2 linked regions of the Saccharomyces cerevisiae S288C genome follow. Changing the gene in region 1 together with any one later gene gives a genetic interaction. Each region holds a gene or a part of one and is shown in the gene's direction. Other genes may lie near its edges. The genes, in order: NUP157 and HEH2.

Region 1 (3,600 bases):
TTCATTTAAATGCCATCGTCAAACCAATCCTAATAGGGCACCTGGCTCCAATGGTCAATCTCTAGTGTATCCTGTAAATAGCATTGCATTTCATCCATTATATGGTACTTTTGTTACGGCTGGTGGTGATGGTACCTTCAATTTTTGGGATAAGAATCAAAGGCATAGATTGAAAGGCTATCCTACTTTGCAAGCATCTATTCCTGTATGCAGCTTCAATAGGAATGGTAGCGTATTTGCGTACGCTCTAAGTTATGATTGGCATCAAGGCCATATGGGCAACAGACCCGACTATCCAAACGTCATTAGGCTACATGCCACAACTGATGAAGAGGTTAAAGAGAAAAAGAAAAGGTGAAATTCGTTCTTCGGATAGCTTCCGTGCGCAACCACATTACTTTTGTAATTTTTTATATTTGCAATATGTAAAAGATATATATTTTTTAATGATACAGGTTCTTTTGGAGAGAATAGGAAAATCTCTCTATACCTATTCAAAATTGATAAAAAGTTTTACAGGTTACACTGAGTCGCCGTTTTAACCGGTGGTAATGTGCAGACAATACTTTCATTAATTTTCATCTATATGTAGCTTTCTTTCCAAAGCACCTATGATCTTTTTGTTTTTCTTTTTGGGAACCACTTCCAAGGTTTTTCCCTTTGATTTAATTTTTTTTGTATTTGGTGAAGAGCTGAATGGATTTTCAGAAGTGGCGCTCAAATCGTTTAGAACCTTTCGTGCATCCAAATGAAAGTCGTCAAATGCAATTTCATCCTCCCTTTTTATCAGGACACTTTGCGGCAAAAATCTTTTCTTTTGATGGTTTGTCTCTATAATACTATCAATTTCAATTGTTAAGTCTTCAATGTTTTCCTTCCTTTTCTGTTTATTAGTGTAGTCAATATTATTGGGTATCAGTAATTGTCCTATTGGAAAATATTCATAATGCTTCTCTTGTTCTTTAAGTAGAATATTCTCCATTTTCCACGACTCATCAATTGCGGAATACACATATTTATTATAGCAACTAAGGCGGAGATTTTCATTCCAGTTTTCACTCATTTCCAACTCAAAAAGGAACCAAAGTCGTGAATACTTGATATCTCTTCTATTTTCTGTGCTACAAAGACAATGATCACAGGCAATATCATTAAGTTCTCTATCGAAAATTTTCTCTTGTAACTTTTTCAAATTACTTCTTGTTAGACATTCCGTTGCTTCTTCATTAGCGACATTATTTTGTAAATGCTGCGTATCTTTGTCTTCTTTTGCTGCAACATTACCGGAGTTTTGCTTTGGTTTTACCGAGTGTTCTTTATGATAACTCGATAAACAGTGTTCTTTTATGTTCTTCTTCGGTTGCTTTTCTGGGCTGGTATTGGATATCTTCCTGCTCAAGAATCGGGAATATCTTTGGAGTTTATTTGGGAATTTGAGATAGTTTGTGTCTTTATTTGAAATTGTTCTTTTTTCCCTCATTTTTTTTTCAGGAAACAAAAAAATTCTCTGAAAATGCTTTTGCTAGTAAATAAATATGGCTATGTTTCCATTGTTGAACTTTCCATGAACGTCTGGAGATTATTCTATTATTATAGTATTTGCTGATTAAAGTATTATAAAATTAGTGACACAAAATAGAAAGTATTACCCGACTTTGGAGAGGAAAGATTTCTAATGAATAATTTCCATCTGAATTTTGAATGGCTTTATAAATCAATAGAAGAAATTAAGAATAAAATCTGTTTGTAGGAGAAACATTTCACAAAAACTACAGCTCGGATTTCAATTGTGATGTATTCAACTCCACTAAAAAAGAGGATTGATTACGATCGCGAAACGTTTACGGCTTCGGCTTCCTTAGGAGGAAATCGCTTAAGGAATCGGCCAAGAGATGACCAAAACAACGGTAAGCCCAACCTGTCGAGCCGTTCCTTCCTAAGCGAAAGAAAAACCAGGAAAGATGTATTAAACAAGTATGGCGAGGCTGGAAATACTATTGAATCAGAACTTCGTGACGTAACTACACACGTCAAGATAAGCGGGTTGACTTCCTCTGAACCGTTGCAGTTGGCTAGTGAATTTGTCCAGGATTTGAGCTTTAGGGACAGAAATACGCCAATACTAGATAATCCAGACTATTATAGTAAAGGTTTGGATTATAATTTCTCAGATGAAGTCGGTGGATTAGGTGCATTTACCCCCTTCCAAAGACAACAAGTGACAAATATACCAGATGAAGTTTTATCACAAGTTTCAAATACCGAAATAAAGAGTGATATGGGTATTTTTCTCGAACTGAACTATTGTTGGATAACCTCTGATAATAAATTGATCTTGTGGAATATCAATAATAGTTCAGAATACCACTGTATCGATGAAATCGAGCACACCATTTTAAAAGTGAAACTAGTTAAGCCTAGCCCAAACACTTTTGTTTCTTCTGTTGAAAATTTATTGATTGTCGCCACTCTTTTTGATATCTATATTTTGACAATATCATTTAATGACCGTACTCATGAGTTGAATATCTTTAACACAGGATTAAAAGTAAATGTAACTGGGTTCAACGTTTCTAACATAATAAGCTACGAAAGGACTGGACAAATATTTTTCACTGGTGCGACTGATGGTGTCAACGTGTGGGAATTACAATATAACTGCTCGGAGAACCTATTCAATAGCAAGAGTAACAAAATATGTTTGACAAAGTCAAACTTAGCAAATTTACTACCTACAAAACTAATACCTAGCATACCCGGAGGAAAGTTGATACAAAAAGTACTAGAAGGGGATGCAGGTACCGAAGAAGAAACTATATCACAGCTCGAAGTTGACCAGTCAAGAGGCGTTTTACATACTCTATCAACGAAATCTATTGTCAGATCTTACCTAATTACTAGTAACGGGCTAGTAGGACCGGTCCTCATTGATGCTGCTCATATCAGGCGTGGAATGAATGCATTGGGTGTAAAAAATTCACCTCTACTCAGTAATCGAGCTTTCAAGATTGCCAAAATTGTTTCTATCTCTATGTGTGAGAACAATGATTTATTCTTAGCTGTTATAACTACTACTGGGGTACGCTTGTATTTCAAAGGTTCCATTTCTAGGAGATCGATTGGCTCATTAAAATTAGACTCTGTAAAGTTTCCTCCTACCAGTATATCTAGCTCCCTCGAGCAAAATAAATCTTTCATAATCGGTCATCACCCCTTAAACACACATGATACAGGCCCACTTTCAACACAAAAAGCTAGTTCAACTTATATCAATACCACTTGCGCTAGTACGATAATATCACCAGGTATATACTTTACGTGCGTGAGGAAAAGAGCTAATTCCGGAGAACTATCTAAAGGTATTACAAATAAAGCTTTGCTGGAAAATAAAGAGGAACACAAACTTTACGTTAGTGCTCCAGATTACGGTATATTAAAGAATTATGGTAAATATGTAGAGAATACCGCACTACTCGATACGACAGATGAAATTAAAGAGATTGTTCCCTTAACAAGATCTTTTAATTACACTTCTACTCCCCAAGGTTACGCCAATGTGTTTGCCTCACAATACAGTGCAGAACCATTAAAAGTTGCCGT
Region 2 (4,144 bases), on another chromosome or scaffold:
CCTCTTCGATTTGTCTTTCCAACAGTCGCTTCTTCAATTTCATCTCCTTTTCGAATTTTTGTCTCTGTTCGAAACTTTCTATCTCTGTTCTGCTTCTCTCCAAGTTATTCATAATCAGTTGCTTGTTTAATTCCTCGTAGGTGCGTAGTTTCTCCTCGGTCTTAGCCACATCGATCCCGTGATCTAGTTTGTATATAATGTCTTCCACCTCTTCCAAATATTTGTTATATTCCACAAGGTCACCATTGAAGTCATCGATAGTTTTGTTGAACACATTGAACACTCTCTTCCTGATGTCAACTTCTTTCTCAACTTCCACATCATCGAATATTTGGGTCTTGAACTTATTCTTTCTAAGAATCTTGTCACACCCTTTATATGGACACTGGGCAGGACCGAGACTAAATATTCGATCAACACACGACTCACAGATCCTGTGATAGCATTCAGGATTCACCAAAAATTTCACATCCGGAGAAAGGTATCGATCTGTCTTACAGATCGGACACATGTCCTTGTTTTCCTCATACTCATCCATAAGCATTTTTCTTTCACTTATATTTACTTGTGTGCGGGGGCCCACTAATGCTGCAAATCCTAAGAGGAAACAAACTCAAATTTTAACAAGCAGTTCAGTTTCTTAGCTGATGATGAGTGCTGTCTTGTGCGTCTGTTCTGTTGTATACTCTCTTTAGTATTAGTGCTTAAGAACAAATTTACGAGCGAACGGCCCGATTTGGACCATTTAGTCGATTTTTTTTTCCACTATTTACGTTTTAAATAATAGTAGCATAAACACAGCACTCAAACAAAACAACTAATTAGGCGTATATCTGCCCGTTGTAATATTTTCAGAACCTAGCTAAGGTCCTTTCATCGCGACACGGCAGAAATTAAACCGTTGTATATGAATGGCTCTATCATGGAATATTCGAATCAGGCGCAGGTCATGGTTTAGATTCATCTTACCGATTATCGTGCTCGGTTTACTGTGCTACGGTACGTGGGCTTACTGCCATAAACTATGTTACGAGCAAGTCGACAAACGACTTCGTCAGAAATCAGTTTCGGTTGGTCTTATTTGTGCGGTATGCTTCCTAGACGTAGTCGTGATTTTCATATGGCTTCAAATAGTTATCTTGGTCGGTCCAGGTACCCAACCGCACGTAGCACCTTTTTTGATCCTTCCTATAGCCTCTGAAGAGAAGACTAGCAACACTTCTCAAAACACTTCAGTGGAATACGATGCTGTGGTTCCGCCTAAGTGTTATCAGTCTGATCCTCACGGATACCCAATATGGTGCAGTGAATGTCAAAGTCTGAAAATGGAACGAACGCATCATTCTTCAGAACTAGGCCACTGCATTCCTCGCTTTGATCATTACTGCATGTGGATAGGGACTGTTATTGGTAGAGACAATTATAGACTCTTTGTGCAGTTTGCTGCTTATTTTTCAACACTTTTACTTATCATGTGGGTGTCTATTTGCGTTTACATAAGAATTATTACTCAACACAATCATAATTATAGCCCCAATTTAAACGCAAATATAATTTCAACGTTAGTGTTTGCCATCCTTGGATGGTTATTAACCGCAAGTTTGTTGGCATCGAGTATTTTTTACATGAGTCAAAACAAGACGTCTTTGGAGGCTATCATAGATAGCAAAAGGAAAAAATTTGGAACAAGGAAGATATTTTGTTATTACTCGGAAGCAAACAAGTTGAGGTTTGTGGTAGAGTTCGATAGATCTGAATTTCACTCTTTCTGGGACAAAAAGTCAATCTTAGCTAATATAAAAGACTTTATGGGTTCTAACATACTTATGTGGATAATTCCTTTAGGCAAGCCCTATACATCTCGATGCAAATCTGATGGCAAAAGCGGTTCAAAAACAACGCTAGTGGAAATATTGGGTCCCTATGAAGAAACTCTTAGTGACTACACCATTCAGGCCATTGAGGACAAGATATCAAGAGGAGAATATCTGGCCACATTGCGGGCTTCTGGTGACGATAGTGATCCTGCTTACTAAATAGTATTAAATTTTTCAAGCAATTTATATTCTGGGACGAAACTCATGTTACAATCGGTATATGTTTCTATTATCTATTCATTTTAATATATTCTGTATGCGTAGGGGAAGGGATAGTATATACATTTTCTTGATCGTCCTTCCATAAATAGTAAGAGATAAGTTTGAAAAAAATAAAAAAGAAGAGAGATTTTAACAGCAAAGAAACGGTAGGATGAACTTTAACGGACATAATAGTAGAAAAGGAAGTTTCCTATCTTCACTAATCGACAATGGATCACAGAAACCTTGATCCGAAAACGCTGAAGGTCAGCCAATTGAGAAGAGTTTTGGTAGAAAATGATGTTGCGTTCCCTGCCAACGCTAGGAAGCCTGTCTTGGTGAAATTGTTTGAGGAGAAAGTGAGGCAACGTCTCCAATCTTCACCTGAGGCCTCAAAGGTTAGAACTAGCATTCAAAAGGTTGTGAAGTCTGGGGCAAAAAACGCAGATCGCAAAAAGACATTAAAGAGTAAAAAGCTTGAATCAAGTTCTAGTGAGAGTAAAACTGTCAAAGATGAAAATGTTGAAACTAACAAGAGGAAAAGGGAACAAATTAGTACGGATAATGAAGCGAAGATGCAAATACAGGAAGAGAAGTCTCCTAAAAAGAAAAGAAAGAAAAGATCTAGTAAGGCCAATAAACCACCAGAGTCTCCTCCACAATCTAAGTCAGATGGGAAAGCAACTTCTGCTGATTTAACTTCTGAACTGGAAACTGTAGAAGAACTTCATAAGAAAGATTCTTCGGATGACAAACCAAGGGTAAAAGAGCTTCCAAAACCAGAATTGCCGAATTTAAAAGTATCAAACGAATTTTTAGCTCAACTAAATAAAGAGTTAGCTAGTGCAGCTACGGAGAATTATGATCATTCTATAAAATCCACGGACTTATCGTCTATCAGAATCGAAACAGAAGAGCCTGTTGGTCCTTCAACTGGAGCAGAAACAAGAAATGAAAGTGAGGTGATGGAGAATATCAATTTGGAAGTCCAACCTGAGGTGAAGGAAGCAAAAGAAGAACTAACAAAAATATCAGAAACTTTTGATAATCAAGACGAAGAGGATACTAGTAGGTTATCGTCGAAAAAAAATATACGAAGTCCAAAAGGTCGCACCAGGCACTTCATTGCCAACAAAACTAAAAGAGGGATAGATATTATGAAACCGTTTATTGCACATCTCTTCATTTGGTTATGGAATGGTGCTATTTTCCTTTCAATAATATGTCCTATTCTTTTTGGTCTTTGGTATCGAGAACAGAGAATTCAAGTAGGATATTGCGGTCATGAAAAGCCCCTGAAATCTCTTGCAATCTCAGCTTTCCCTCAGACTGAAAGGGTAGATTCAGTGTTGCAAGCTTATCGACCAAATTGTCTCGAATGTCCTGAGCATGGAATATGTTCTTCTTTTATGAATGTTGAGTGTGAACCAGGCTATGAGCCTAAAAGTTCTATTTTAGAAACGTATGGTATTATTCCTTTTCCAAAATATTGTGCCAAAGATGAAAGTAAAGAAAAGGAGGTTGATGAACTGGTTTGGAAAGTAAATGAATATCTTAAAAAGAAGAATGCACAACATGAATGTGGTGAAGGAGAGAATCTCTTTGAGAGTGGTGAAACGGAAACCAAATTATATGATATATTCTCTCATTCTAGACCGTCATGGGAAAGTCAAAGGGAATTCAATGATCATTGGAAAAATGTGCTTGAAATATTAAAGAAAAAAGATGATATTATCTGGCTGCCATTAGATTTTGAAACTAATGGAAAAAGAGAGAAATCTAAATCTAATAACACTAACTATATTTATCGTTCAACTTCAAAAAAATGGGTTACGTTGCAATGTCATTTAGAAGGGGATATACAGGAGTATATAACGAAATATGGTGGTTCTTTATTTATCACCCTAGGCGTCCTTTTCCTTATCAAAAAAATACAATCGACACTTGACAATTACGTTCAAGGAGAGCAGATAATTGAGAAATTGGTAAAAGAGGCAATTGATAAATTGAAAGATGTAAAGAAGAACAAAGGTGAAGAACCTTTTCTGACAACAGTTCAACTAAGA

What was found.
Region 2: mutations in NUP157 (region 1) and HEH2 are lethal when combined (synthetic lethality), as found in Saccharomyces cerevisiae (one study listed by BioGRID).

What each region holds. Positions count from the first base shown.
Region 1 is NC_001137.3:370,206-373,805, reverse strand, and holds the start of NUP157 (Nup157p), read left to right. Parts: upstream 1-1,792; coding exon 1,793-3,600. Other genes in the region: RNA export factor GLE2, read left to right, coding at 1-358; MAM1 (Mam1p), read right to left, coding at 572-1,480.
Region 2 is NC_001136.10:1,380,211-1,384,354, reverse strand, and holds the start of HEH2 (Heh2p), read left to right. Parts: upstream 1-2,308; coding exon 2,309-4,144. Other genes in the region: TFIIH/NER complex subunit TFB3, read right to left, coding at 1-544; palmitoyltransferase PFA5, read left to right, coding at 912-2,036.